2 linked regions of the Arabidopsis thaliana genome follow. The protein of the gene in region 1 interacts with the protein of each later gene in a pairwise test. Each region holds a gene or a part of one and is shown in the gene's direction. Other genes may lie near its edges. The genes, in order: ARF22 and PAP2.

The links.
Region 2: the proteins of ARF22 (region 1) and PAP2 interact in a two-hybrid assay, tested with the Arabidopsis thaliana proteins (one large-scale study listed by BioGRID).

Annotation. Positions count from the first base shown.
Region 1 is NC_003070.9:12,548,681-12,565,152, forward strand, and holds ARF22 (auxin response factor 22), read left to right. Parts: upstream 1-7,324; coding exon 7,325-7,373; intron 7,374-7,449; coding exon 7,450-7,568; intron 7,569-7,780; coding exon 7,781-7,876; intron 7,877-7,972; coding exon 7,973-8,029; intron 8,030-8,125; coding exon 8,126-8,263; intron 8,264-8,341; coding exon 8,342-8,426; intron 8,427-8,517; coding exon 8,518-8,608; intron 8,609-8,687; coding exon 8,688-8,852; intron 8,853-8,962; coding exon 8,963-9,076; intron 9,077-9,165; coding exon 9,166-9,238; intron 9,239-9,311; coding exon 9,312-9,450; intron 9,451-9,554; coding exon 9,555-9,967; intron 9,968-10,054; coding exon 10,055-10,242; intron 10,243-10,332; coding exon 10,333-10,402; downstream 10,403-16,472. Other genes in the region: STOP1 (C2H2 and C2HC zinc fingers superfamily protein), read left to right, coding at 2,322-3,821; AT1G34380 (5'-3' exonuclease family protein), read right to left, coding at 4,159-4,258, 4,355-4,577, 4,691-4,925, 5,051-5,194, 5,278-5,619. UniProt on the Arabidopsis thaliana protein: Auxin response factors (ARFs) are transcriptional factors that bind specifically to the DNA sequence 5'-TGTCTC-3' found in the auxin-responsive promoter elements (AuxREs). Could act as transcriptional activator or repressor.
Region 2 is NC_003075.7:14,316,886-14,332,648, reverse strand, and holds PAP2 (phytochrome-associated protein 2), read left to right. Parts: upstream 1-7,287; 5' UTR 7,288-7,435; coding exon 7,436-7,857; intron 7,858-7,961; coding exon 7,962-8,215; intron 8,216-8,295; coding exon 8,296-8,437; intron 8,438-8,581; coding exon 8,582-8,643; intron 8,644-8,946; coding exon 8,947-8,984; 3' UTR 8,985-9,353; downstream 9,354-15,763. Other genes in the region: AT4G29070 (Phospholipase A2 family protein), read right to left, coding at 9,614-9,741, 9,889-10,540; emb2726 (elongation factor Ts family protein), read right to left, coding at 11,334-11,618, 11,693-12,017, 12,113-12,519, 12,595-12,887, 12,983-13,189, 13,561-14,905; AT4G29050 (Concanavalin A-like lectin protein kinase family protein), read left to right, coding at 15,728-15,763. UniProt on the Arabidopsis thaliana protein: Aux/IAA proteins are short-lived transcriptional factors that function as repressors of early auxin response genes at low auxin concentrations.

The DNA of each region.
Region 1 (16,472 bases):
CAACGAGTGCATGAACGAGAGAACCTTCGTGGCAGGTGACTCCACTTGGCTGATGTAATTTAATTTGGAGATTCCTCAAAATCTAAGTTACTTTATCCTCTTATTTAATTTTTCTTTGTTTGAAAGTGGCTATATCATTCACGATATCCATTCTTGGTAATTTTCGATATCTATCCAGATTTTTAATATAATTAATAGTATGATCATAATTTCTGTTGGCGAAGAAGTAACTAAGGGTTGATTTTTTACAAAAAAAATATAACTATGTTTTAAGTAAACACATATCATGTGGTACATGAAAAAACTAGACGTAAACAACATTTTTTGTTCTATATTTTGTGCCTGAAATAGTTAAAATGATTATATCTCATTTACATGTTTATACACCTAAATATGCATACAGAATATACCTAAATATGTATATTTATGCATGCATATAGAATCAAAATTTTATTCACTACAATAAACTAGATACATACTATATGCAGAATAGTGTCTTTCAATTAAGTCACAACAATAAATTAGATAAATACTGATATAAATACTAGATGTATGTTTAAAAATTCTGTCAAGTGTTAGACTAATTAGACAAGCCAAATTAAAAGACACTTATATTAGATTTTATGGTAGATGAATCTTGAAACAGACTCCAGTTTAGAAGTGAAATAGATTTTATCTTCATCTGAATATAACAAAAATATATTTTTTGGGAGTTCAATATAAAAGATGAACACTCGAAGATGTAAATTTTAATATGAACTATGTCGAATATTATTATTTTCATGAGATTAATTCTCACGACTGTGAAACGTACAGTTTAAAATTATTTAGCTATGGCAATTCTATGAAATTTATTCTGGTTACTCACAAATTTTAAATAAATATGGTTTGATTTACAACAAATTTAGTAATTTTTCTTACATTTATCTCTCATTACTCCAATTTTGAAGCAAAATGTTTGTTGAACTCATACTCTCTTCGTTTTAAAATAAGTATTGTTTTGGGAAGTTAAATTTGTTTCAAATTAGTTGTCGTTTTATATTTTCAATGCATCTTTTTGATAAATTTTTTAATTTTTTTAATTGTTTTAGATGATTATTTAATATTATTAAATAAAATAACATATTAATTAGGAGTAACACAATTTTTATTTTTAATTTATGTGTAAAAACCTTTAAAAACAACTAATCCAAAATAGAAGGAGGATATGATAAACATCACCTTTATAACTATTTTTCCACCAATTCGAACATCAAAATTGTAGAAGATACAATGTTGTTGTTTATAAATTGTCAAATATCTAGTTGAAATAAAACAAATATTTAATGCACACAATATTCAATATTTGAAGTAGCCAAGTCAAATAAGCAAAAATGAAGTGCATGGACAGACAGAAAGAGAAAGATAATACGAATAATAATATTTAAACTACGACCAACTATAGCGTAGACCCCACCCACACCTCTCTAAATCAACGGCTGCGATACACCGGTACTGTTCTTGATGCGATAAACGCATATAAACCGTCGGATCTGATTTTACTTATAAACGAACGGTCGATGATTAGGTTGACTTACTCTAATCACCTCGTAATCAATTATTTTTTCTCATAAATCAACGGCTCTAATGCATCGTTACCATGTTCAATGCGATAATATGGTTTTGCACCGTCAGATCTGATTGATACCGATCTTTATATAATTTCAACGGTTGAGATTAATGGGTTGACTTTACATAGGGTAGATCAGAAAGTGGAGAGCACCCCAAAGCTAATAAACATGAGCCCCGCTCAGGCGCTGCTTCCTCCTCTCTCTCTATCATCATCATCATCACTTTCTCTATCTATCTCTCTTCTTAAAGCGGCCATTGGTGCTCTCCAAGTTCCATCTCAAGCTTTTCTTCTTGTGGGTGATTCAATCTCTCTCTTTCTATTTTTTTTTTCATTTCTGTTGATTTAGTGATCTTTGATTTGTGAAACTTTGTTTTTATCGTGTTTGTTTTTGATTTAGGGTTTTATTTTGTTGTCGGCGAGTTTTGATTTGATGATTTTGATGATTTTTTTTTGTTTGACCGTTTGGTTTTTGGATCTTAAGAGTTATGTGTGAAGATTTTTTTTTGTTTGTTTGGGTGAAGAATTTGTGTTGATTTCGATAATTTTGAGTTTGATTTTGAATCTTAGTAATGAAATTTGATTCTGTGAAGTGTGTATGATGAACTTTGAGCTGGTCCTAATTCTGATTCTGATAAAGATTTGATTTTTATGGTTTCTTTTGTAGGTTTTGTTGTTCTCTTAATTGAAAAACAAGATCTTGAACTAAAAAATGGAAACTGAAGACGATTTGTGCAACACCAATTGGGGAAGCTCTTCTTCGAAATCGCGAGAGCCGGGTTCATCAGACTGTGGGAATTCGACATTCGCAGGTTTTACGTCCCAGCAGAAGTGGGAAGATGCTTCAATCTTGGATTATGAGATGGGTGTGGAGCCTGGATTGCAAGAGAGCATTCAAGCAAATGTTGATTTCTTACAAGGTGTTAGGGCTCAAGCGTGGGATCCAAGGACGATGTTGAGTAACCTTTCTTTTATGGAGCAGAAGATTCACCAGCTGCAGGATCTTGTTCATCTTCTTGTTGGTCGTGGTGGGCAGCTTCAAGGTCGTCAAGACGAGCTCGCGGCTCAGCAGCAGCAGCTTATAACGACGGATCTTACTTCCATTATCATACAGCTTATTTCAACTGCAGGTAGTCTTCTTCCATCTGTTAAGCATAATATGTCAACAGCTCCGGGTCCATTCACTGGGCAGCCCGGTTCAGCCGTGTTCCCTTATGTAAGGGAGGCTAATAACGTTGCTTCACAGAGTCAGAACAATAACAACTGTGGTGCTCGAGAGTTCGATTTGCCTAAGCCGGTTCTTGTTGATGAGAGGGAAGGTCATGTTGTGGAGGAACATGAGATGAAAGATGAAGATGATGTGGAAGAAGGAGAGAACCTTCCTCCCGGTTCGTATGAGATATTGCAGCTTGAGAAAGAAGAGATTCTCGCACCGCATACTCACTTCTGCACGATATGTGGCAAGGGTTTCAAGAGAGACGCGAATTTGAGGATGCATATGAGAGGGCATGGAGATGAGTACAAAACAGCAGCTGCTCTGGCGAAACCGAACAAAGAATCCGTACCCGGGTCTGAGCCGATGCTGATCAAGAGGTACTCGTGCCCATTCCTTGGTTGCAAACGTAACAAGGAGCACAAAAAGTTCCAGCCTTTGAAAACGATTCTATGCGTGAAGAATCACTATAAACGCACCCACTGCGATAAAAGCTTCACTTGCAGCCGGTGCCATACCAAGAAATTCTCTGTCATTGCAGATCTTAAAACCCACGAGAAGCACTGCGGGAAAAACAAGTGGCTTTGTTCCTGTGGTACAACATTTTCAAGGAAAGACAAGTTGTTTGGTCACATAGCTCTGTTCCAGGGACACACGCCTGCAATCCCTCTTGAAGAGACAAAACCATCAGCCAGTACATCTACTCAGAGAGGGAGCTCTGAAGGCGGGAACAACAACCAAGGAATGGTTGGCTTCAATCTTGGTTCTGCATCAAATGCTAACCAAGAAACCACACAGCCTGGAATGACTGATGGGAGGATATGTTTTGAGGAGTCGTTCTCACCAATGAACTTTGATACATGTAATTTTGGAGGGTTCCACGAGTTTCCGCGACTGATGTTTGATGATTCAGAGAGTTCTTTTCAAATGCTTATTGCGAATGCCTGTGGTTTCTCGCCCAGGAATGTTGGTGAGTCTGTTTCAGATACTAGTCTCTAAGGCATTGCCATATATATGATAAGTTATGTAAGATGTTCTAGTTTTTAGCCTTTTAAGCAGTTCTTTTGTGTCTGTAATTTTGTTTTCGCCATAATAATAATATCAGAATAGCAGAAAGTTGGATTCTTTTTTTTTTCTTACTTATTATGGTTCATTTTGATTTAACCAGCCATGTCCATAGTGATAAACAAATTTAGTAACAAACTGCACATTTTGATTCATATCTATGGAAGTATATAACAAAATCAGATATGAACTACAATGTCTAAAATTACTTTCAAGCTCACAAAAACTAGCTATCAGCTAAAATGCGAGAGTGTGCTTTAGCTTGTCAGTATCATCCATGCAATGTTGAGAAGAAGCTTGACAATACTTCTGAATCATTGCTTGTATCTCTCTCCATCAGCCATTCATTTTGAATCTGTACCCTCACATCTCTATGATACAAAAATGATTGAAGAATCAGCAAGAATATCTTACAAGTGATGCATAATCAATCAAAATGAAGGGGTTTAAAGTGATAAAGAAAGAACCTATTCAAGGCAAGAACTTGATAGTTTCTTCTCAAGTAGTCTGCGTATTTCGTAAGGGCCTCTTGAGCATATGGTCTCCCCACGGTTCTTACAGCTGCTGCGCTTAGTAAACTCTCCAGAGAACCATGTTTTCTCACAAGTTTCATCGCTGTTTTCCTTCCAAACGCCGGGACCATGTGCTGAATCCCCGGAACTCCATCAACTTCATCACCCATTATACATCCTATCACAAGAACCAGCCGGATTGAGTTGGCTTTGACACTTAACAAAGAAAGTTGACAGAAAGACAAGCGTCAAGAGACATGTTTGTAGCCATAAGTCGATTTAGGCACTTACGAAAGCTCAAATCAGACTGTGGATCACAATTATATTGAGCATGGTAGTGCTTCAAAGTATAAAAGGACCATCTTCTGAGATCTGCCAATGGAATGACAATCTGAACATTTTCTGAGATCAACTGCTTAAAGTCTTTATCAGGCGATGCAATAACCGCACGATATCCTCTTTGCACAGCTTGTTCCATTAGCGTAGCTACTACATCGTCTGCTTCATGCCCTTCTATTCTAACAACCTAACACATAAACAAGAATCCAGTAAGATCATTCATTCACTTCTACGGCTAATTCACTTAACTATATACACGCTACAGAATTGAGCTAGTCTATTGAACATTGAGTATTAAACAGTTTTACCCACTGGCACATTGCATTTTCTAAGAACTTCATCAACAAACTGATGTGGCCTCTTAGAGTATCTCCCATGATTTGGTGATTTCCTATGAGCTTTATATGAAGGCAACAATTCTCTGCGTCGTTGGTTACCTTCTTCTCCATCGATAACCTACAAAAGGAACTATCTTTCATTGATCGAAGAAGAGAAAAAGCTTGCGGAAGAAAGAATCAAAGAAAAGGAGAGATTTTTACAGCTATGACAGGATCAGTGAGGCTGACTTGAGAGAAGAAGAGTGAAATCCAGTGACCAAAAGCTTGCGAACTGGGTTTGTTTCCTTCGTAGCAAAGTGGACTAACGTCTAAGAAGAATACCCTTTTATTCTTCTTCCTAATTTCTTCATTGTTGCCACAGAGAACATCTTTCTGAAGAACTTGCACATTACCTGTTCGATGAAATGTCTCAACGGAAGAGTGAGAAGAAAAGGAAGAGGACGAGGAAGAGACCCATTTCGTTCGTGAAGGTTGTGTCTTGTCGATGGATTTAGTTGAGAAGGAGAAGAGAGAATTGGGTTGAATAAATCCTACTGTTATCATCGTCGTCAACCTCTGCGTATGTTCTACAAGAATACAAGTCAATTGATCAAATATCCCATAGTCGTTTGTTATTAGTTCAGAGATTATTATGTTTTACGTAATGGGCCTTATAATGGGCTCTAAGAGTGTAGTCTCAATGATAGCACTAGCATCACCATTGTTGTAATTGGTCAAATTTCTTTTCTCTTTTCATTTCGATTTCCTCTCATATATAATTTTAAAAAGGATTGTTTAGATCGATCATCTACATTTTTATTTATAAATTATAATCTAATTTTTCTAGATTAGATAAGCGTTCATATAATTAGTTTTTAATTAATGTGTAGTTGACAACAAATAAAATTTTAACTCTCACAAGAATAAAAAATTTACAAATTAAATTAAGTAAGGTAAACTTATTGGATCAAATAAATCTATACAAATAAAAATCGTATTTTTTTTTGTTGTTGTCTGACTAATGTGTTATAAGTTTTTTTTTGTGGGTGTTATATTTACGGATGTCAAGTTGGTTAAACCAAATCCAACCAATCTATATCCATACAAATTTAATTTCTAATGGATAATGAGTCAATCTAATTCATTTAGCAAATACTTTGGATAAAACCATAAGTCATTTAAATTATTGAATTAATGGATAAATAAGTTTATTCAATTAATAACTTTTCTATAGATGATAAAAAAAAATATTCTATAATCTAAATAATTATCATTAATAGTAAATAATAACTATTATAATCATCATCATACTACCATCATCATTCGTGATCATCATCACTATTAATGATCATCTGATCACCATCATAAATCATGATCATGTTTTTGGTGAAAATATCACTGAATCACATTTTGAAAGAAAATTACGAAGTTATATTTTTGGCAGAAATATAAAGAATTACTTTTTTTTGCGGAAAACATGTTTTAGACGGGAAAATCATTGAACACATTTTGGCGGAAGATGCGAAATCATGTTTTTGACAGAGATACAAAATACGGAAACACGTTTTTGACGGAGAAGCAAAATAAAAGCCATCAATATAAAACATAGAACAAAATGCTTAGATGACATTCGGGTTGAGAGGCAACGAGAAACCCTTGTACATTTTTGATGGAACTCATCATATTATAATCCACACCCCCTTATAAGGCCAAATCACAACCACCACCGGGAATCCACCCCTGATGCCAAGGACATCCCAATAGCCATGGGATACATGCAAATTCACATCACAACTAAATGGAAAGGGGAACATGCCCTTGGAAATTTCTCCAAATATCGACAATATATACTTATAGAACCCCGGTTTATAAGGAATCCTTATAAACTTATAGAGGAAGCGAAAAGAAAAATCTAACATGAGATGTACCATAGATCCCATATGAAAGGTCTGATCACGGTGTAAGTATTAAAACTGTATTATATTACTCAACTTATATATGAATAAAGCATATGTTGATTTTGGTAAGTTAATGATTTTCTTATATGTAGTCAAAATATTAATGACATTTCTCTAAATTACTTTTATTAATTTTTGGTAACCTTATTAAATTTAGTATTCAAATCTAAGAAAGTATTTTAATACTTCTTACCTATAAATGTGATATTCTGTGCTCTCATGGTCGCGAGAGAAGTTGAGGAAAGAGAGAAAGTTGTATAATAATTGTTGGGATAACATATTTTGGTATACCGATCTTTAGATACGAGCTTATGGAAAGTGGCAACATTGTGAATGCACAACCTGAATTATCAGGCATAAGTAAGAAATTTTGACTTTTTATTTTATTTTAGTGAAAACTTGTTTTGGTTATAATGTTTTAGTTTTTGTTCGGCAGTTGATGGATCCAAGAGTTATATGTACGAGCAGTTATGGAAACTCTGTGCGGGGCCTTTGTGTGATATTCCAAAACTTGGAGAAAAGATTTATTACTTTCCTCAAGGCAATATAGAGCTTGTGAGTTCTCTCTCTTTTTTTTTTTTTTTTTTTTTCTCTCTCTCTCTCTCTCTTCTTTCTCTCTCCCTCTCTTCTCTCTCTCTCTCTCTCTCTCTCTCTTTCTTCTTTCTCTCTCCCTCTCTTCTCTCCCTCTTCTCTCTCTCTCTCTTCTTTCTCCCTATCTCTCTCTCCCTCTCTCTCGTGTATCAAAACCTTTTGACGACTTTTTTCAGGTTGAGGCATCTACAAGAGAAGAGTTGAATGAGTTAAAACCAATTTGTGATCTTCCTTCTAAGCTTCAATGTCGTGTTATTGCTATTCAACTTAAGGTATATCTCTATTATGTTTTACCGAATACGCATGATATATATTTGATTTCATTGTAAAAATAAGTAATTGGTTAATTGTTTGATGTTTGATTTTAGGTGGAAAACAATAGTGATGAGACTTATGCTGAGATCACTTTGATGCCAGATACAACTGTAAGTGAAAATTTAGTATTTCTCTTTTATTTTCAGTTAATTCTATTTTTTCTCTTATTATAGCTGATTGATTTTCTGATTTTGTTAAATGTTTAGCAAGTTGTAATCCCTACTCAAAATGAAAATCAATTTAGACCATTAGTTAATTCCTTTACGAAGGTTTTAACGGCCTCGGATACAAGCGGTGGATTCTTTGTTCCAAAAAAACATGCCATTGAATGTCTTCCTCCCCTGGTATTTAATGTTATAGTTTTTTAAACGAATTTGAATTTTAAACTTTCATTAGACATTACATATTAAATTTTGGTTTAGGATATGTCTCAGCCTCTACCGACACAAGAACTTCTTGCTACAGATCTCCATGGTAATCAATGGAGATTCAACCACAACTATAGAGGTAATAATTCCTTTTATTCATATAATTCAAACACAACTATTGAGGTAATAAATCCTAGAGAAGTAACTAATAATCTTCTTATCCCATGCAGGTACACCGCAAAGACATTTGTTAACAACTGGTTGGAATGCATTCACAACATCAAAAAAATTGGTTGCAGGGGATGTTATTGTATTCGTTAGGTATATTATTGGTTTTTTTTATATAGGGATCTTTTGGTTCTTGAGTTTTGGATTTTAAACTATTTACTTGTGGTTTCAGGGGAGAGACTGGAGAGTTACGAGTTGGTATCAGACGAGCAGGACATCAACAAGGGAATATACCTTCATCAATAATATCAATAGAAAGTATGAGACATGGGGTGATTGCTTCCGCAAAGCATGCTTTTGATAACCAATGTATGTTCATTGTGGTTTACAAGCCAAGGTAATTCAAAGAACCATTTGAACTCACTTTTAAGATTATATTGATTTATCAATAGATTAGTTCCTTCAACATGTAGGTTTATATATTTTTTGTGTCTTTATAAGTATCAGATCAAGTCAATTTATTGTCAGTTACGACAAATTCTTAGATGCTGTGAACAATAAGTTCAATGTTGGTTCAAGATTTACAATGCGGTTTGAGGGTGATGATTTCTCTGAAAGAAGGTAACATTAGATGAAAACTTTTTTCTACTTAAATATATTTGTAATGTTTAATATTATCTATGATAACACATTTTGTTCTATTGATTAAGATATTTTGGGACAATTATTGGAGTTAGTGATTTCTCTCCTCATTGGAAGTGTTCAGAGTGGCGCAACTTAGAAGTAAAATTTCATTCACACTTTAAAACATCATTTTAGGAATACGTTTTTGAATGCAATAAATTTAATCTTGCAGGTGCAGTGGGATGAATTTGCATCATTTTCGAGACCTAATAAAGTGTCACCCTGGGAGATCGAACATTTAATGCCTGCGTTAAATGTTCCGCGACCATCTTTGCTCAAGAACAAGCGTTTACGAGAAGTTAATGAAATCGGTATAAAAAGAGACTCTTATAATCTTTTATTTAAAGAATTAATCTTCTATTTAATGAATTTGAGATTCTTAAATACCTTCTCAATATTCCTGTTTTATATACAGGTTCTTCATCATCACATCTCTTGCCTCCTATATTGACACAAGGACAAGAAATTGGCCAACTAAGCGTGGCCTCCCCGATGAATATTTCTCTCACTTATCGTGATACAACTGAAGATGTTATGAATCCTTCTAGATTGCTAATGAGCTACCCTGTCCAACCAATGCCCAAACTAAATTACAATAACCAAATGGTTACACAAATAGAAGAAAATATAACAACCAAGACTGGCACTAATTTTAGGCTGTTTGGAGTCTCACTGGTCACTCCTTCAGTGATCAAAGATCCCATTGAAGAAATTGGCTCGGAGATTTCGAAACTTACTGAAGGAAAAAAGTTTGGTCAAAGCCAAACTTTGAGATCACCAACAGAGATCCAAAGCAAGCAGTTCAGTTCTACTAGAACTTGTACCAAAGTAAGTATAAGATCAATATATTCTTATTCTTTATATATGAAACTTTTTCTCATTGTACTCAACTCACGCAATCTTGATATGGAACAGGTTCAAATGCAAGGTGTAACAATAGAAAGAGCTGTGGATTTAAGTGTTCTGAATGGATATGATCAGCTAATACTAGAATTGGAGGAGCTCTTCGATCTCAAAGGCCAATTACAAACTCGCAACCAATGGGAAATAGCTTTCACAGATAGTGACGATGATAAGATGCTTGTTGGAGACGATCCATGGCCGTAAGTTTCTTTTCTATTTCTATCGATTGAAAGATTAGTTAAAATCTTGAGAGACGTTGATATTTCATTTTTTGTGTTGTTTGCATATAGTGAATTCTGCAACATGGTGAAGAAGATATTGATATTCAAAAGAGGAGGTCAAAAACTTGAAGTCCAGTAAGAGTCTCTCAAGTTGAATTAAGAATCAAAACATATGTAATAAAAGGGGTCGAAAATGTTACCGGTGTCTTGTCCTATTTTTATTTTTCTCTTATTTGTTGTTGCATGCATTTGTCTTATGTACTTTTGTTTCCATCGTCCATAAATAAAATAAAATTCCCTTGTTGTCGTGATATAGAGCTTTCTTTCTAATTCATACAATATACATATCACATCTACATTCTAAAAATTTGAGTGTAGTATTTTATTTTATGATATTTTGAAAAGAAAATTGTGTAACACGAAGTATATAGTCATTCAATAAATTAAAGATTTTACTCTACCTATTATTGTACTTGCAAAACCGGATATTTTAAAGACATAAACAAATGATACTGCTAAATATGTTTATATTTTTAGTAAATATTTCCTTAAATCTATCACTACAATTGTGTCACCACTCACAACTAGTTAATATATATATATAAATTTATGGGAAACTTGGGAATTCGGCCAATTCATATTCAATTAAAACTACTAAATCAAAAAAAGTATTGTGTGAGTAGATATTTCAACTGTCATGATTAAGAAAAATTTATAAATAAGGAAGTAGAGGCAGGAAAGATATAAAAAGTTATCATAGATCGGGTGTAACGGCATCACGAGTATTCAGATTTTGGTAAAGAGTTTTTTCTTCATTTCACATGCTTGAATTGTATTAAAACAGTCAATAATGTAGATTTTTTTTGGGAGATTAAGGAATAACATACTACTATGTGTTTGTTGCACAAGAAAATATACTTTGTGATTTGGAAATTTAAAATGTAACTTATATGAAAAATCAGAAATGTAAGCGGTTTTATGGTTATAAATATGGACAAAATTGATAATGTCAAGAAGAAGGAAGGAAGAGAAAAGGAGGGAGGACCAAATTGTATATTTCTAACTTAAAATATATTTTTTGGGTGAACAGAAATTAATATGAATAATCACTCTTGTAAAAATAAGTTTGGTTGCATAGATGCGATATATTTGTTTAATAAAAGTTTCAGTTTCTATATGCAAGAGTACTACAAAAAATAATAAAACATTCTATTTTCGAATGCATATAGTAAGTTTTATTGCATTCGAGTAACGAACAAATAAAATCATATTCAAATATACGTCATTGTTTGTACATAACAAAAAGTATAAAACACACTTGAACATATCGATAATGGTAGTAATGCATTTATACATTTTAAAACATCTTTGTTATCGACAGAGAAATTTTGAATATCTTTTTTCCCATATATTAGTTTACTAGTGTTAAAACTCGTATTACGTACGGCCCAAAATATATTAAACCATTTAACAAAGATAGAAATGTTTAGATGTTTAAACATTTAACAATACGATTTAATAAAGTCGAAAATGTTTAATTTTGATATATTGATGAATGGTGATGAAAAAAATGAAGAGTAAGCCAAATGGTTTGGAGAAAATCCCAGCCGAGTCTTTTGTTTCTTTAGCTTGTATAATACAAAATCTGAATAATTGGTGTGATGCGAGTAATGGCTTGACGGGAATCCACTTGGTGCGAGTAGAGGAGTCTCAATGGTATATGATCACTTGTAAAAGACCTAGAGAGCCTGCCAAATCAAAGAGAACTTTGTTAAAGATAATAAAGCATTCCAAAAACCGTTGTAAACAGTGAAACAACATTGTAATTTGTATAAATGATATGATGAAAAGAGATATACCCTTCATCGACTATGATTGAAATATGTATATAGCATATGAAAAACCATAAGAAATAAAGAGTTGGAAGTTTGAAAAGATTAAACAATTTCTTGGCTACTTAATAAAAAAACCAGAAATATGATATGAAACATAAGTAAATGGAGATGCAACAAACCTGCAAAATTGATAATAAAAAATCTGTTTAGGGTTGACCATAAGAGAAGTGAATTTACCTTCAAATTTGCTCTTCTTCGAAAATGTTTTGTGCTGCAACAAAGGATATATGCATAACTTGCCATTGTGTTGGAGTGAATGGTGTTTAAGAAGATTCATCTCCATGGTAATGTCATAGATACTGAAAACGTAAATATAAAATTCATTATTCTGAAGACTAAGAAAAAATGTGAAATAGATAATTTGATGAGACTTGTGATTGATGAAACAATGATGAACAAAGTGAAAGCAAATTTGTGAATTCCGAATGCATAATTTGAAAATCGAAAGAATTTAAAATAGAGAATTTGATGAGACATGCAATTGATGAAACGATGATGAACAAACCTAAACCATAATTGAGAAATACAAAAAACAAAACAAAATTGTAAACTGCAAAAAGAAGATGAGACATGCAATTGATGATACCCTAAAATCAGAACATATTATCAGGATTAATAATTTAGGTCCCTCCATAGTGAATAATCATACATTTTTTGCCAACAGTTTATTTTCCTTTGTCTTCTTTAGGCTCATCTCCTTCGTTTTCTCCCTTCTATTTGTTTTTGGGATAAAAATTCAAGGTCAAGGATATTAGACCTTTGATCTTTTATTCTTTTTTGAAGAATTTAGATGTGAAACATGAGTAAAATCCATAGGCATCTTCAACTGAGTTGACAAAAATAAAAGAAAAGAATATGACTAATCGGCATAGGATGTAGTGACAATTGATGAGGAAATTTATAATTGGAACCAGAGAATCATAAAACAGTTCAACAATTACCTGGCGAAGGAGAGAAATATTGATTAGAAATTAAAGTGAATTTATTGGAGTTAAATAGAAGATGAATCAGTTACAAAGTAGCTTGAACCTGGAGGTGTTAGTGGGAGCAAAATTAGGAATTAGAATTCTTTTTACATTTTTTGGAGATTTTATAGGACACGATAGTCGACATATGAGAGATAAAAAGAAAAAAAACCATGTAGAAAACTAAGAATTAGGATGGGCAATTGGACTTAAAAAAATTGTGATGGGCTTACAATGTATTTTTTCTGATTTCACGTAGCCCAATTTTGTTAGGCGGAGAATTGGTTTTTCTTTCTTTTGAGGCTTTTTTTTTCTCCACGATCTCAAAGTATTTTGTTTAATTCCTTTTACAAAAAATTAATTGAAAAATAAAAATCTAGGTAGCAAGTTTTTACTGGTTTAGTGACTTGTGCTTTATAAGATAAACTAGATTTTAACCCGCGGTATACCGCGGGACAATTTATTTTTTAAAAGTAATATATATTAAAATTTGTAAATTTTATCTTTATAAAATATTTATATTTTACAGTTTATAATTATTATTAAGTAAGGCTATACCACGAATCTATGAGACAATTGTTACAAAACTGAAGTTGTAACCCCTATTAAAACAGCATATTAATAATATTTTAAAATTTTATAAATATTGATTCAAATACATCCACCATATAACTCAATTCCAAAATAAAACCCGTTCTATAATTTCTTTACCCGTCCTGTGATTTGTTTTTTAAAGTAGTAATTTTTAAAATTTAAGAATTATTTTTTATAAATAAAAGTTTTGCAAATTATATCATTCTCTAATACATTTATATTTTATATATGGTAACATTATACATACCACATAACATTTTTGGTTTTATATAATCTTTTCTAAATTAGGATGATTTGATATGTTTAATATTAGTGGTCTTAAAAATAATAAATTAAAGATTTAACCGTATTGAAACGGTGTATTAATTATATTTTACTTTTTTATTAATGTTGATTCAAAAACCCGTCACTCCAAATCCGTCTTGCCAAAAAGCTATTTATTTTATTAATATTAATTTTATTAATATATGACTCTGAATTATAATCTAAACATTTTAGCTAATAACATAGGAGTATACCATTTTTATTTAATAGGGGAATGTACCATATGACCCGAATGCACTTTTACCCAATTCCACCAAAAAAGTCTTGCAAAAATACTATAGAGATAAAAAATGATAGTCGGTTTTGATAGGTATAAGATTAGCAAATATATTAGTTAGCTTAAATTAGTTAAAGAATACAAATTGAAAAGGTATATTACACTTTATTCGAATATAGTATCAAAACTTATATAACACAGAGATTTGATAAATTTTTAATTGTTGAATACTTTTTTTGTGCTAATTTTTATGTGATTAAGATTTAATTTAAGATTTAATTGATTTTGTATATAAAATATTAAAAGTAAATTGTGAGTTGTATATGTTTTGTTGATATTATCTATATTGTTTAGTGTTTAAGATTATACACTTGTAGTTTGATTGTTAATTTAAGAGTTTTACCTGTAGTATACCATCTTGTATTAATATCGATCTAAACCCGTCAATTCTAGGATTTTCTAGCTTGTATTAACAATTGAATTACATCATACACATAAAAAAATCTAATATGTTATTAATTATTGTAGTATATAAGATTATAAATTTTCAATATAATATGTATGAAATTGAATATAAATATTTTAAATTATAACTCGTTACTCAGTAGAAAATTTTCTTAAATCTATTTTTCATCCGTTATAATACTTTTTTATGTATTGAACAGTTTATATTCGTTTTCAAAAATTCAAATTATAGCATATGCGAAAAAACTCTAATTATTTTTTTATAATGATGATATTATTTTTCGCAAAAATAGAATCATATAAAGATGAGAAGTGAACTATAATAATTAATAAAAAATTAATATGATAATTTAGATATCAAATCTAATTTGTTGATTTTAATAGGTTACTTTTTTGGAAATTAATAATGTATTTCGTTTTTCTAATTAAATTAAATTAATTAAAATTTAAATATCAAATCTTATATGTTGATTTTGATTGGTTATTATTTTTGAAAATTAATAATATATTTCGTTTTTTATTAAATTTAATTAATTAAATTAGTAATTGATTTTATTATCCTTAAAAAGATAAATTAATTTACTCTTTAAAATTTTATTTCTAATGGCATACCTATGTAATTACTTACAAAAAATAAGGTTATATTTAAAATGTACTTCCCAAATAATATAGAAGGATGATTTTTCAGTAACGGTTTATATTTAATATAATTATGGATAATATGAGCATTTACCATATGACTAAAACTTTCATGGTGAGTGTAGCTGTCAAGTAGCCTATTCAGCACGTTTTTTGAAAGATCTAAAACATGGTACTGACTTGCCAAATAAAAGGGATACAATTATTTCGTTTAAAGTGTCAATTTCTTTTATAGTGGTATTTTCTGATTCATCAAGCAACCATCGACCAGTTCTAGCACTCAACACTAGTCATCTACTACGAAAACACCAATGAGTGAACTAACACCTTAATCATATTTTTACATCCGTGAAAATACCCAACCCATAACACGTAAATACACTCTACCCACAAACCAATGTATGAACATTCATGAACTCCATAGTAAGAATTCGAGAATCATTGGAGGTGGTTCAATGTCCCTCTTACCTTCTTTATCGGCTTCCTTCTTTGTGACAATGAGGGCTCTCAGCAGCTTAGTCTCATTTCTCTCCCAAAACATTTTCATTCATAAATGTTACACTCCTATTTATAGGGTCGGGTCTTACTCGTCCATAAACTCTGATTTTCATTTTCATTGTATTATACTTTCAGTATCGTTTTCTTTCTTGATTATGCATTAATTATTAATTCTTTTGCCTTTCATATACCAACATAACAGTTTATAAGTTATCGGCGTTCATTTCAGGATTTTATCTTGTTCTTAAACAATTATTTATGATTTTAACTGATAATTGGAAACACATGTAACAAAACGTCACAAAGTATGGTGACTATCTACTTACCCAGTTGATGATTATTTGTTTAATGTGTGTGTTTTTATCATATATTTGCTCGTATTAGTTTGTTTTGATATTTCTTTTGGTGCTCTATCAAGCTTCGACGAGCTTGTGTCTCTATCTTTTATTTATATATCCTCATATACTTTATTTTCCAAACTTGCTATTTGGGGTTCTCCGAATATAAACAATCTTCTTATATTTTTCTAGTTTGAATCAAAAAGTTGGTGCACAAAAAAAAAATTATATTTAAAAACTATATATTAGTTGGGAAGTAGATAATGTTATTAAG
Region 2 (15,763 bases), on another chromosome or scaffold:
TCTAGATTGACTTTATAAAATGGATCTATGTTTTATCTATGGATTTGTGTTTGTATACACAAATCAAACACAGAAAATTAAATTGTTTATTTACTATTTTTATGTTTTCTGACTTAGCTCATTTTCTTGGAGTTACAAGGATGATTATGAGTTGTCCTTCACTTGATCACATAAAGGAAGGCAAATGGATGCTAAGGTACACAAGATAAATTACATAGTCGAGATGTGCTATACGAAGAGTTCTTAATACAATGTTAAAGGTTTCAAGGTTTCATATTATGCATCTACATCACTGACAAACGAAGATCAATCCAGTGGTATATGTTTATGGATGGAGGTAATTTGGTGAGATATCTTGTGTTTATATAATTAAGGAATATCAATTTTGAGAAGTTGAGCTTTATTTATTTTAGTAATAGACATGTTTAAGAAAATTGTTTTAGTGATAATTATATAGACGGAAATAGACTGAGGCTGGATACGAAAAGAAATGATAATACTTACGTATAATTCTGTAATTGATACGTATATCTATCATCCAAATAAAAAAAAGGTTGGATTACTTATTCAACTAAACATTAGTTGTTGCAATTTGGATAAAGATGCAAGGAGTCATCATCATGAGAAAACTAAGTCAAATTAAACTTCTATTAAGAGCCTAATTACTCTTGGATTTAAATGCGACCAACTTTTGGTGGAGCTGACTAAAAGTTTGATTTGTATTGCTTTCAAATGCAATCTGCTTTAGGATTATGAAATAAAGACTTCATAATTTAGCTTTAATTTCAAGTTGGTGTAACGTATAAGCTTCAACTTCACATTATTAGTCTTTGCTATATTATATATAATTTTATCATTACGTCTTAAGAAATGATTCATTTTATCTTTATGTCAAAAGCAAATTTTAGAGGTTTTAAAACTTACCGAGTCGTGTTCGTTGTTTTTCGAATAGCTTATACATAATATTTTCATTTAAATAATTATAAAGCCTTTTCAATTTATTTATTTTTGGGTTCAAAATATAATAATTATACTGCGTTTCTAAATTGGTGAATAATATTTGGAGAGGCCGGTGTGTGGGGCCAATGATAAATGGGCTTAAAACAAAAACTGTATTCACACGTTGGGCTTTTTGCACGTGAAAGTGACCGTATCATGTTTTCAGAGACACCGTTGGGCCCACATGTTGGGCCACATGTTACGTGCTCGCGCCCACATCTGATTACTACCTCTTTCAGCTTCATATAGATTAGACAACAATGCTTAATTTTATTTTTCTTTCTCATTCAACATAATTGATGTTTAAAATTTCAACCTTTACATTACAGAAATTTCAATAGTTTAAAAAATTCCTATATTAAAAATTTCCCCTTTTGGATTTTTTTTTTTATGGATAGCAACAAAGTTAAGAGGCGATTTTTTAAAACATTGCATTTATATTTACCAAAAACAAAAATGAAGGACAATGCAGTTTCTTGTTTAGGGTCGTTTTGATCTGTCTGATTTAAATGGCCAGCAATTTTGTGAAAATGGTATGACGTCACTCTATCGTAATTACTGAGGGTCAAACGAAGTCAACCATTGTTTATCCTTTCTTATCCAATTTTAATTTGTATCGAACCCACATATTTAGTATTTACGATGTAACATTAGTCGATTGTACAAATAAATGACCAATATAGTCATTTAGTGTGTCGTCTTGTTTTTTATTATTATTTTGCATTATTACTAGAAATATAAATGTAGTTTCACCATGATAATTTGAAAATAATAATAAGGTCTTTGAGAAAATAGATAAGTTAAATATTGTAATTTGTAAAACAAGAATAATTCTTGATTTTCTTCACCTAACGTAATTTTGTGTATTAAGAAATTATAACAATGGAGAAGACATGCGGTTGACCTATTCCGTCTTGGTGTTTATGAAAAATTGTCTTATATAGGACCCATATATAGTTAAGGCCTCTTATGTCAACCATAATAATCACTCAAGGAATATTACAATAGTTCAAAGTATAATCAAATTTATATGAAAATCTTATTCTTTCATTTTTATCTCTGGACTCTGGCCCTAAATAAAATTCTTCGAATGCTTCAGCTTTCTTTGAAGACCTTTCCCATATTCAAACCAACTCTACAATAAGATTAACATGTTTTTGCATCACTATATCTCTCGTATCTATTGTTTGAATTTTCTTCCTTTGCCTGATTGGCTGATTTATCTTACCTTTTGTCGATAGCCTTACACAAACGCCAATGTCTCTATGTTTTAGTCAATTTATATTAGAAAATCTACCGACACATTAACAAAATATTTACATATAGAGGAATAAAGTCAGTATGATTGCATATGAAAGTTAAATTATAGGCCCTGCATAAAGGAGTTAAATCATTGAGAGGAGCAATGCCAACTTGTATTAATAAATAATAATAATAATAATAACTGTTGACTTGATTAACTCATTTATTAGTTTTTAATGACACGATTACACATCAAGGACCCTTAACCAGTGTTGCCGTCAGGGAAAAAACGAGTGTCCACATTTTTCTTAAAAGAGAGTAACTATTTCTCATATTAATTAAAAATATATGGAAAAGAATTATACCAATAGAAATTTAGTTGTCTGAATGATTGTTTTTTTTTGTCAATTTGTCACCATCTTGATTAATACTCAGTAAGACGATTTTATTTTATTTATTAATATTGTGATTGCGGAAAGTAACATTTGTGTTTATCTCTTAGTTATTAAGTACTTGTTAAGATAGATTTGTGAATTGACTGTACTATTTGCTGTAGTTGACAATTCTTTTTGTTGTTACAGAATATGATTTTTTTCTTCCGCAGAAGTCAGTGACTCAGTGTATGTATGGACGAAAATACAGGAAACTTGTACGTCTTTGCTTCTTTCGATAAGAACATTAAAAGATATCACTGGTAGATTTGATCATATTCTCAAAATTATCAGAGAGTTAGAGACGACAATTTTCTTCCGTTATTTTTATACGTACTTATTGAATATCACCCCTAAGGTTTTAGAATATGATTAATTTCGAATGATATCATTTACTGGGCCAATGAGCTCATATCTTATTGGGCATTTTTGTTAACATATATAAATACAAGAATAGTGCATGGGCCTCGAGCAAAGTGTAATGTTAGGTTTTGACATTATAAGGAGCACCAAAAACATAGTAAAATTCTGTCGACGGATCCATCTCAATCCGTATATTAAACCCCACTAGGCCACTAATAGAAATTGTTTCACTAGATATCAGATCAGTATTGAGTAAAAACTCAAAGAAATTGAAAATTTCACTATTAGCCGATTGAGTTTAAAAGATGGATTACAAGAGATGCATCATGCTGCGTTTTTATGTACACACCATTCTTCATTGCATTTTTCAATAATAGGAATCTAGAGATCATTTGAGAATTGAGGCCGAAATAGCACTGTAGTTTCTGCCTTTTTCTTTATCTAGTTACATTAATTACAAACTTTTCACTAATTTTCCAACAAATTTATCCATCGATCGGTTCAACGTTTTTTCAGTATATATCAAGATCATTATACATTTAAGATTAATAGATTTTTCGACTCAAAATTGTGTGTATATAAAGAAGAAATTAGTATATGAAGTCGTTAAATAGAACAATGTGAATATTCATCATGTGGAAATTGAGCATTCTTTTTCTTCATAAATCTTGATAGTGGAGCGCAATATGCATATATATTAAGCACATACGTAAACCCATATCATTGAGTATGACTTAGAAACGTCGACTCTGATGGACAAAGTCAATCTCCCAATATCAAGCACTTTCTATAATGTAGCCCATACCATATGTATCTTAAAGAAAATCAAATGAATCCCATGATTACAATCTTTGAAATACCTTAAGAAAAAAAGTTAATCTTATTATATAAAGTACAATTTTGAAAGTTACTAACTCACGAGATCATGACACGTGGTTATTTGAACGATTTTAGATTTTGACATGTGTTTGATTTTTTTTTTTACTTTTTCCTAAAAGAAAATAGAAAACTAAAAAACAAAGATATTTATATATACTAATTAATATGTTTATATCTAAATATTTAACTTACAATTTTCTTATCTAAAATATAAAACTAACAAGAAGATGGAGTGTATATAATTAAATTATATAAAAAACTAACAATAAGATGGAGTGTATATCATTAAATTATATATTTTATTATGGTAAAATAGGTATTTAAATTGTATTGCAAAATCGAATTTGTAAGATTGAAATTTGGTTTAAAGAAATACTAAATTACATACTGAAAAAGTATGAGAGTTACGTTACTATTTAAAATTCAAATATCATTAATAAGATGGAGTGTATAGGGACTGCATAATCCGAGTTACTCATGTGTATAGTAAAACTAATCGCATAGTGAATGGATTAGCAAACTATGCGTTTTAATTACTGCTCGGTTTATATTTATTTGATGTTTGTCCAACAGTTGTAAGTCCGACATTGTCAGAGGATATAAACGGGATGTCGTTTCCACAGAGTGTTTGAATGTAGTTTTTATGTTATAAATAACAAAATAGTTTATTATGATGAAATAGATAGTTAAAATATAAGTAAAATTGAATGTGTATGATTAAAATTTTATGTAATATAAAAATTACTATATTAAATATTAGAAAAAGTGTGTAGATTACTATTTACTATATAAAGTTTAAATATTATTGATAAATATTTAAATAAATTTATATCATACATCCGCCTATTTAGGCGGCCTTATCTAGTATATATATATGAGGGCGTGTGTAGAGATTATACTCAGCCACCAAACGATCCAATATTATATATATGTGTGTGTGTTCTATATGTAGACAGCGCCGAAATTAATAACCGCATAAGAAAAACAAAACCGGCAGTTACCATTATGCGGTTTAATTTGATGACAGGTTAAAAAATTATATCGATCTAATTTGATGACAGGTTAAAAAATTATATCGATCTAATCATTTATAGCCATCGGATTGATTCGATATGGTAGGTTATGAGTTATAATGGAGCATGAGGTTCTTGTATGGATGTTAAATCAAGGAGGGTAAGTGGCTTCTTTGTCTAAAGATTCACACTGTCTCTTTGTTCTTTTTTTTTCTTCTTTTTTCGATTACGACACAAACCGATCTTTCACTAACGCTGTAAGTACGGTCGTCCACTGATTTAACATTTTAGGTTTAGTGTAATTCCATTCGATCCTCAACTAACTACATAGTTTTCAATTATAGTCATAATTATTATGCTTGATGAAAAGCAGAAAAAAATGAAAAAACATTAAGTATAACATCAGTACTAAAAATAAATAAAATTATAGTATGTATTTGTCGCTCACACAAGTCTATAAACAAACATTCAAAACCAACATTTTAAGTTACTTAAGCTGTCTCTCGCTAGTATAATTAAACCCTAGAGTTACTTATGATGTCTCTTGTTAATACAGTAAACCCAACGTGGCCATATATAATAATAACAATAATTAAAACCGCCACATGTGATGCAACATCCATATAGATAAGTAAATACTTTGGGTAACTCCAACTAATCTTTAGATTTTATAGCCTTCATATGATTTCTATAGTGATAGACACATTTTTACTAAAGATTCGTATCCTTAGATAGCTTTGTAAGTAACTAATGGCACGATTAGATGGTGAGTTAAGGTGGAATATAAGTTGAGATGTCCCAAAAACGACAAAAACCTTGCCCAAAAAAAGAGAGAGACAAAGGAAAAGTTAAAGAAAGGCACCTTATGATTAAGACACTCGAACTTACACTAAAACACAAATCTAAAAAGCTTTAGATAAGATCCAAAGATGGATCCACCTTAGAGGCAGGCTTTAACCAAATTACTATGCATATGATATTTTATAATACTGCAACTTACAGGTCTTTTTTGTATGTCTTCTTGCTATGTATATACTTATCGTTGTTACAAATGAATGACTTAATCAATACAGCCAAACAATATATAAATCACTGGTAGAATATAAATGACAATATTTCATATACTTCTTCTCATGTTATATTGTTATAGCATCAGATATATTGGTTTAATAAATATGGGTTAAAATATGAGTTGAAACGTTTAAATGTAGATTGAGTCATCCACTTAAAAAATATACTTGGAGATAGATTAGATGGGCATAAATACTATCAAAGTTAAATCTGATTTGATCATTTAAACTTTTATTAATTTAAGACTATGATCCAAGTATCAAAGTTTTACTAATAGGTCAAATTGTAATGTACTGTAGCATATATGCTCGATTTTGGGAAAACATTGTCTGATAAAAATGAAAAGTGGAGTGTGGAGACCACAATTCTTTTTGGGAACACTGCTCAATATTGCTACTGCGGCTAAGTGGCAAAGAGCTACCCCTACTGTTTCTTTCCTCTTTTCATGCTTCTGGTGGACCCAAAAAATGAGAGCCTATGGGCCCAAAACTTTTTCGAGATTCTCTTCTCTGTTCTCACCCCCAAGCCTAAATATCATCTTCCATCGCAATTATTGGCGACTTACTAATAATCTCCATTCGTTAGCTAAACTACTAGTGAATTTATACAAGTTTGTGAAGTTTAAACTCCAATACGTTTGATTTATTATAGAATATGTTATGCTATCATGCACATGATTAAATGGTTCACCGTTATTAGATTATCATTATCATCACTCAATTTCATGAGTAAAGATTGGTTTCACGAGCTAACTTATGAGTTATATCAAATCGTCTAGTGAATCTAAAACATATAATGTTAAGCCAAACTAAACAGAATTAGTGACTCATTACAACATCTCTATACATATATCAAAAAGGAATTGCATACAAAAGCGTATTTTAGATACTAAATCGTTTTGCATGATAGCATAACATGCACACCTTCATGAGATAGCAAATTGTTTTTTTCAAATACAAAAGTAAAAAGTAAAACAAAACGTGGAATACGAGAGTCGAGACAAGGGCATAATAGGAAAGGTTTCAGGACGCTTTCTGTGACCTGTCGGGGAGTAGATGTCTACACAAAACGTAACGTGTATATACAATACATTCATGTGTACCATTTTCTTAAATCAACATTTTGTGTTTAAACCCGCCAAAAGAGGAAAGTACTTACTTCTAATTACGGTTTATATGAATATAAAATTACGTATACTACTTCCGTCCACTTTTGGAAAATAATACGATTCCAAGAAAAAAGAAGATTAAAGGTAAAAAAATAAAAAAAAATAAAGCTCTCTCACACACCTTTTTATCATTTCTCATTTTCACTCACAATTTGATCTCATCTTTAAATTTTTTTGTTTCCCATTTCTCTCAGAAAGTGTTCTGTTCTTTTTTTCTTTTGTAATCACTAAATGCTTCAAAAGTTTGTCCACAATTATATTTGAAAAAAATGTCTGTATCTGTAGCAGCAGAGCATGATTACATAGGTTTGTCAGAGTTTCCAACCATGGAAGCAACAACAATGTCTGACAAAACCAAAACCAGAGACAATAACAACGGTCTCAATTTCAAGGCTACCGAGTTAAGACTCGGTTTACCCGGTTCTGAGTCGCCGGAGCGAGTCGACTCAAGATTCTTGGCTCTCAACAAGAGTAGCTGTCCCGTGTCAGGTGCCAAAAGGGTGTTCTCCGACGCTATTAACGACTCTAACAAATGGGTCTTCTCTCCTGGATCCACTACTGCTACTGGTGATGTCGGCTCGGGTTCTGGTCCCCGTACCTCCGTCGTTAAAGATGGAAAGTCGACAACTTTCACTAAACCGGCTGTTCCGGTTAAGGAGAAGAAGAGCTCTGCTACAGCTCCAGCTTCAAAGTAAGCTTTTTTTGCTCTGTTTTAGATTTTTCTCAGCTTTTTTGCTCTGTTTTATGATTTCTGTGAAGAGGGATTCTTGATGTTTTTTTTTTTTGATTGAGCAGAGCACAAGTGGTGGGATGGCCACCAATAAGATCATTCAGGAAGAACTCAATGGCTTCTTCTCAATCTCAGAAACCTGGTAATAACTCAGAGACTGAAGAAGCAGAAGCTAAGTCTGGACCAGAACAACCTTGCTTGTATGTCAAAGTGAGTATGGAAGGTGCTCCTTACTTGAGGAAAATCGATCTCAAGACTTACAAAAGCTACCTTGAGCTCTCTTCTGCTCTTGAGAAGATGTTCAGTTGCTTCACCATTGGTAACGTTTTCTAGTCTCTCCTTCTTTGAGATCAATACCAGTGATTGAGTTAACTGTTTTCTTTTGGTTCCTTTTTTCAGGTCAGTTTGGTTCTCATGGAGGGTGTGGCAGAGATGGGTTAAACGAGAGTCGCTTGACTGATCTCTTGCGTGGTTCTGAGTATGTTGTAACCTATGAAGATAAAGACAGTGACTGGATGCTGGTCGGAGATGTCCCTTGGGAGTAAGTCTTTGATTTTTAAAAGATCAATCTCAACAATGTAAATTAACATCAAGTATTAGATCATATCTAATGATCTTAGCACAGTTTTAGCTTAACAGAAGAATATAGATCAGTGAAGCTCTCTTACTGTTTTTTCCTCTGCAGAATGTTTATATGCTCCTGCAAGAAGCTGAGAATCATGAAGAGCTCTGAGGCTATCGGCTTAGGTTAGTATTTCTTTACTAAACCCTAGTTTAATGTTCCACACCCATGTGCTCGATTTTAAGATGTATTAGAAAGGTGGTCCATTTTGAACTAAGACACCCTTCTAATACTTTCATGGTTCTTAAGCTTCTCGCTGGATTCTATAAACATTCTGAAGCTAAAGAAATATATTACTGGAGAAACTAAAACGATGCAATTTAGTCCTTTCCAAGCCTCTTAAACACTAGGAACTTACTGCACACTACTGTACAAATGAAGAATACACAATGATTCATACACAAATCTTGCTTTTTCTTTTTTTGCAGCTCCAAGGGTGATGGAGAAGTGCAGAAGCAGGAACTAGGAAAAGCCCTTTTATGTGATAATATATGATTTGAAAAAATATGTTTTTAAGAAATTGAATAGCCATTTTGTTTTGAAGTATTCTTGTGTGTTTGTGTGCTAGGAGTGATGTTTGATCTTTCTTAAACCAGCCTCTACTAAGCTCTAATAAGGCCTCTTCCTCTTACTTCTTTCTCTAATCAATCTAATGAAACATATGGGTTTGTGTATGTGTGTTTGCCAAGGAAGACTTCATAATTCATATGTATAAAAGTTTTGGTAGTGTGTAAACCGGATGTGGTTTTCATTGTTATATATGTTTTGGATGCAAACTTTACTATAGAAAATAGTTTTTCTAGTTCATGAGTTTCCATGAAATGAAGTTATAATGATCCTTTGATAGAGCTTATATCATTCAAACAAAAGACTTCAAAAACAAGGGTTTATTACTAGACATGTACAACGGGTTTACAAGACGCACAACACTTACTAGCGTTTTCACATCTTCATACTAAACATATATATCTATACTACTAAAGAACCTAATCCTCAGATTCCTTTCTTTATGACTTCTATGTACAAAACGAAAGTGAAGACACCCACAAAGGCTTACCGGGATGACAGAGTACCTCCGATATACTTCCTTATGTCTCAGTTTTTCTGAAAACTCCAGCTTCTCTTGCTGAGGTTGCTCACTATCCAGCCAAAGTCGAGTAGATTTTGCCCGTATTGTATCTTCACAAGGTAACTTCTGTAGGGTATTAGTATGCTCTTGAGACCTGAAAGCATTCGAGATAGATGGTTTCAAGATACATCAGTACATCACCAAATGGAAACGGCCATTATCAAATATTACTACCTGAATAATAAGGTAAATTATGAAATAATCCCACATTGATATAAAAGCATAAGGAGATTGTAGTTACCTGTAATGCACATTGTTTTGTAAAAGTGAGCAACTTGAGCATCTCCCCTAGTAACTACACGCTTGTTTGATTCCAAACACTCAAGAAACGCCATGTCAGCTTTAAGCAACTCTGCCTGGTCATGAGTATCATAACCAATATCATGGCAATAACAGCAATGATCTAACCAATCAATAGGTCTCTGATCCCAAACCATCGAACCTCCATCTTTCCCACTAGACCAGTTAGGTCCACAATAATGTCCATATCTCGGGAAAAGCTGTGACAGAAACGCCCTCGTCCCTGTATGCCACGGAACCTTAGACACATAAGGTCTAAACCGATAAACAGTATTCACACCATTTGATCTTGATGACCTCCGAGAAAGAGCATGCCTTTTTAACCCTCTGTTGATAGTAGTGGGTTTCTGCTTACCATCAGAGGCATTTGCAGACCAAGGAAGAACTGAACTGAAGGAGGACCAAGTCCATATCTTTATATCAAATAAGCCTTTCTCTTTCTCTGGCTGTTTGAGAAGAAAGGTTGTTGCTTTCTCTTGCTCTGGCTGTTCCAATAGAGAAGTTGTTGTTGGTGTCACGGAATCAATCATAGCTACATCTTTCTTTGTGCTGATGCTACCAAACCAAGATATACTTGGCAACCCAAAATTCATCTGTAAACAACAAAACAGTGCATGCAATGACTTCAGCAATCAAGTGTGATCCAGACAAAAAGGGAAGATTTTTATCTTTTCAAATTGGGAAAATTTCGAAATTGCGAAAGATCAATACTCAAAACCCTAGAATTGACTAGTAAAGAAGAGTAAATCGGATCTCGAAAATAACAGAGAAGGATAATTCGAATGAGCTTTTGCATTGAGAGATTGGAATGTTCACGAACCTGAGCTTGAGAGACGCTACGAGAAGAGACAGACACACGTTTTCGTTTTTTTTTTCCTTAGCAAATGACAACCTCGGAATATCGTTCGTTACTTTATGTCTTTATCTATCCCTAAATTTTATTGGGCTCAAAATGGGCCGACCGACCTTTTTTAGCCCACAAATTATAAAAGGAAAAAAACATTATTGTAGTGTATGTAGTAATTCGGTCGGTTTGATTTTTATATTTAGATATAATATCCAAAAGGAAACAAAAAATTATTTTATTTAGTTTCACTTCTTCAGGGAAATTCATTTGAAACTTCTATTTAAAATAAGGTTTAAAATTTCATTATAACCAATCTTTCTCCGAATTTAGTGTATAATGTCACATTGTCACTAAATGCACATTTATATAATGCAAATCTCATATTTTCATGAACAAAAAATTACAGGTTTTGATTAAAAACTAATCAAAATGTGAATACTGAAGATTTTGTCTACAAAACAAAAAGGAAGACTTTTACTTTAAACTCCATGACACAAAACAGAGCTCCCTTATTTGAAAACTTTACTTCGTCTGTCTCATCAGTTATCTTCTCCAAGAGTAAACTTCACAAACCTTCTGACTTTGATGTTTTCCCCAAGAGTAGCCACTGTTTGCTTCACCAGATCCTTCACCAGAACACTGTCGTCTTTGATGTAAGGCTGCTCAAGCAATGCCCATTCTCCAAGCCTCTTTGAGATTCTTCCTTCCACAATCTTCTCCCTTATGTTCTCTGGTTTCGACAAAAGATCCTCTCTTTGCATCTCAATCTCTTTTTCTTTCTGCTTTATCTCCTCTGGAATGTCCTCTATTGAAACATATTGCACCTGCACGTAGACATTTCAGGTCAGAGACCAACAACCAATTTATGCCATTGTTTCAGCTGAGGACATTTTCTTACCTGTGGATTAGCCACTGCTTGCATTGCAAGATCATCAACCAATTCCTTGAATTTTTCGCTTCTTCCGACAAAGTCAGTCTCACAGTTCACTTCTATCAGAACTCCAATCCGAGAATCGTGGATGTACGAACCGATTCTCCCTTCTGATGCAAGCCGGCTTGATTTTTTATCAGCTGATGAGAGACCCTTCTTTCTGAGGAATTCTTGTGCTTTCTCAAGATCTCCTCCTGTCGCCGCCAATGCCTTCTTGCAATCCATCATTCCAGCTCCTGTCTCTTCACGCAGTTGCTTTACAAGAGCAGCTGAAACCACTGTAGTTGGTGGGCTGCAGTGCCGTATTGCAAAAAGTTTGAATCTTTCTATAGCCAACATTATAAGAATTCATGTCAAGAAGAGCAAAGACTATAAAAAATTTCTCACCTTGCAACAGCTTCCTTGGCCTCTTCAGCTTTTGGCTCTTCTTTAGCTTTCGGTTTAGCTGCAGTTTGGGCAGCAACCTCAGCAGCAAAGTCCTGGCTTTTCTTCTCAAGGCCTTCTCCGAGAGTGTACCTCACAAATCTCTTCACTTTGATGTTTTCTCCAATGGTTGCAATCCTCTGCTTTACAAGATCCTTAACTATCACCTTATCGTCTTTAATGTATGGTTGCTCAAGCAATGCAAGTGAATCTAGCCTTTTCTTTATCCGACCGTCCACTATCTTCTCCCTTATTTGTTCCGGTTTCGACAAAAGATCTTCCTTTTGCATCTCTATCTCTTTTTCTTTCTTCACAATTTCTTCTGAAACATCTTCTGTTACAAGATACTCTACTTGAGGACACGCAGCCACCTACATGTCAGGTCAAATTATATTCTCAGTTATAGCAAAACGAAGAAAATGTTTCAGCTAGAAACTTGGAGTTACCTGCATCGCCAGATCATCAACAAGTTCCTTGAAAATGTCGCCACGTGAGACAAAATCAGTCTCACAATTAACCTCCAAGAGGACACCGATTCTGCTGTCGTGGATATAAGCACCAATTCTTCCCTCGGATGTGGCTCTGCTTGCTTTCTTATCTGCGCTCGCTAGTCCCTTCTTGCGGAGGTACTCTTGAGCTTTGACCATATCGCCCTCACTCTCTGAAAGAGCATTCTTGCAGTCCATCATTCCTGCCCCTGTTTCTTCTCTCAGCTGCTTCACTAGAGCTGGTGAAATGCCTGTTACATTTTTGTGTTAGGAGATGGAATCTCACATAAACCATTAGGTCATGAGTCAGGAAGTAAAACAGGTAAAGGATGGACAAAAGAAGGACCTTTGATGCTTTCAGCAGTAGCGGTGTTGCCACTTTCCTCAGAAGAAGCTTCTGTGACTACAGGTGCAGGAGTCTTGACTTCATCAACAGGTGTTTCGGCAACCACTTGCTCCTTCTCAACCTCTTCACTTGCTAAAGCTTCTGGAGATGAAACTTCATCAGTGGCTGAGTTTGGAGGAATAGAGTTCTCAACAATTTCCTCTTCACCTGGTCACCGGTAGAAGAAAAGGGTCAATGCTAGTAATCATTACACAATGAACTAAAATGTCTTTATCTTTGTGGTCTTATATGTTTCTTATCACCTTTTGCTCCATCAAACAAAACTTCATGAATTTGATTATTCTGGATTTTTTTAGAACACGTAGTTCATGTGACTATTTATGTGGTTAAGGTCTCTACTATAATTTGGAGTATCCCCAACGCTTTAGCTGTATATGTTACCTTGGATAGAGTTCTAAGATACAAACATTGTATAATCTTTTTAAATGATTCTGATAAACTGATACTGATCATAATAAACCAATATGAGAAGTAGCACACAAAAAAAATTACAATCTAGTGATTTTTAGTCAACTTACTTTTGGTTTCTGGAATTGGAGGAACCACCTCTTCAGCTTCAGCTGCTGCAGCAAGTGTTTCCGTTTGCTCTTCTTTTTCCGGCGAATCATCTTCAGCTTTGGTAGCTATCACTTCTTCTTCTACTACCTTGGGAGTTTCTGACGAGGGAACCTCTTCACTTGTTACTTCAGCTGGGACACATACCGATTCCTCGACTTCAGCTGAGGTGACAGAGGCTTCAGCTTCAGGCTCTACTGGTGTCTCAACAGGTGGCTTCTCTGCCTCTTCCTCCCTCTTGTCAAGAAACGCAGCAATCTCTTCGTTCTTACGGAAAGCAAGCATAAACGGATTTGTGGCTGTATGCACAACTCCCTGAGTGGTTGTTTCATCAAACTTACCATCATCTTCCTCTTTCATTGTTAAAGTAACACGTCCCCTTGCTATCCTCAACACACGAACCTTCACCTCTTGTCCAGCTTGCAACGAAGAGCCACCCATCATCATGCTTCCAATACCATCATCTGCTTCCTCAGCCGTCGGTAAAAACCCTTCTTCGCCTTCTCCTATAGTTATAAACGCTCCTGACCTCGTTAAATTCTTGACCACTCCATCCAACATCTGCCCTTTGGCAAACTTTGAGTTAAACCCTTCTCCCTTCCTCTGTCCTCCTCCTTTAGAACCATCCCTTTTCCCTCCTGATCTCGGCTTATCACTACCACCAGACTGACGCTTAGGAGGATCATCATTCTCACGCATAGTTAAAGAAATACGTTTTGACTCAATGTCAGCTTCCACTAGCCTTACCTTCACCTCTTGTCCAATAGTGACAACACTCGAAACATCCTTAACAAAGTTGTCACTCAATTGAGAAACATGGACTAATCCATCAGTAAAAGCACCAAAATCAACAAAAGCTCCAAAAGGCTGAATAGCTCGTACTTTCCCAGTGAAAGTAGCTCCAGGAACCAGCTCCTCGTTCTTAACCGCAGGCATCTCACTCTTCCTTCCAGGTCTTGCTGTTCCCCTTGACTGAGATGTTGGAGCAGGAGCATCTGACTTCTCACTAGCCACGGTTTCTTTATCCTCCGCAACAACAGGAGTAGAATCTTGTTCCTCTACAGCCGCCACAACATCAGTCCCAGTAGCTCTACGATGAGGATGCAACACAAACTGCCTTCCATGTGTAGGAAACAATCTAAGTGAAGTCGACAAAGGTAACACAAGTCTCTGCGTTGATGATAGAATCTGTTTCCCAGCTTTACGCGAAAAGCTACATTTGATGGAACAATCACTCTTCTTTACAGTAAAAGAAGCTCCAGGAATGAGCCAGGCATTGCTAATAGAAGAAGGTGTAATCGTAGCCATAGCTAAGAACTGTCACCTACACATAGAAAACCATTACACACTGTCAAAATTACAAGCTTTCCTCAGACAACAACACAGACTAATCTGAAAGCATATGAAGAAAAGGACCACTCTTTTTCTCAATTTCGAATTGAAATTTCATTGTAGTCTAACTAGAAAAACTCAAAAATTTCCATTAAGAAAGCTAGTAAATTTCGAACCATCTTATCACGGAAACATAAGAAGAGTAACTAAGAAACCCATTTGAGCAAAGCTAAGAAAAGGAGCTACCTTTAAGCTCGCCTATGCTCTGAGAAATTGCTCCCAGAAAGAGTAAAGCGAGAAAAGTCGCTAAGTTTCGGTGAAATGTTCGCGTTTGACAAATAAGCACGAAGCGAAAACGAGGAGAGTGGTGAGAGGCTTCAAATCCTTATCTCATTTTGTCTCTCCCCTGTGCTATTTTTATTTCGTTTTCCCTCTCTTGGTGGATAGAGGAGATAAGAGTCTTCAAAGATTACTACAGGTGATTGTCTTTTTCTCTCTCTCCTGCGCCATCAAGACTCGAGCTTCAATATGGGCTTACGGGCTTCATACTAAGGCCCATCAATAGCCTATATCGATGTGAAACTCCCCCCCAGACATTACATAGTAGCAATGCCTCCTTTTCATGCTGGTCAATTTCTTAATAAATCAATAAGAGGCGTCGAACAAGACTTATTCAACATTTTATTACTAAGAGTCTAAAAGACTTTAGTTTTTGACCCTCCAAGTCATACAGATAAAGCCTATTTAGATCTTTTTCATATTATAATCATATGGTTTTGACCAAAAAAAGAAAAACTTATGGTAAGATCATTCATGAGAGGAAAAAAGAATTGC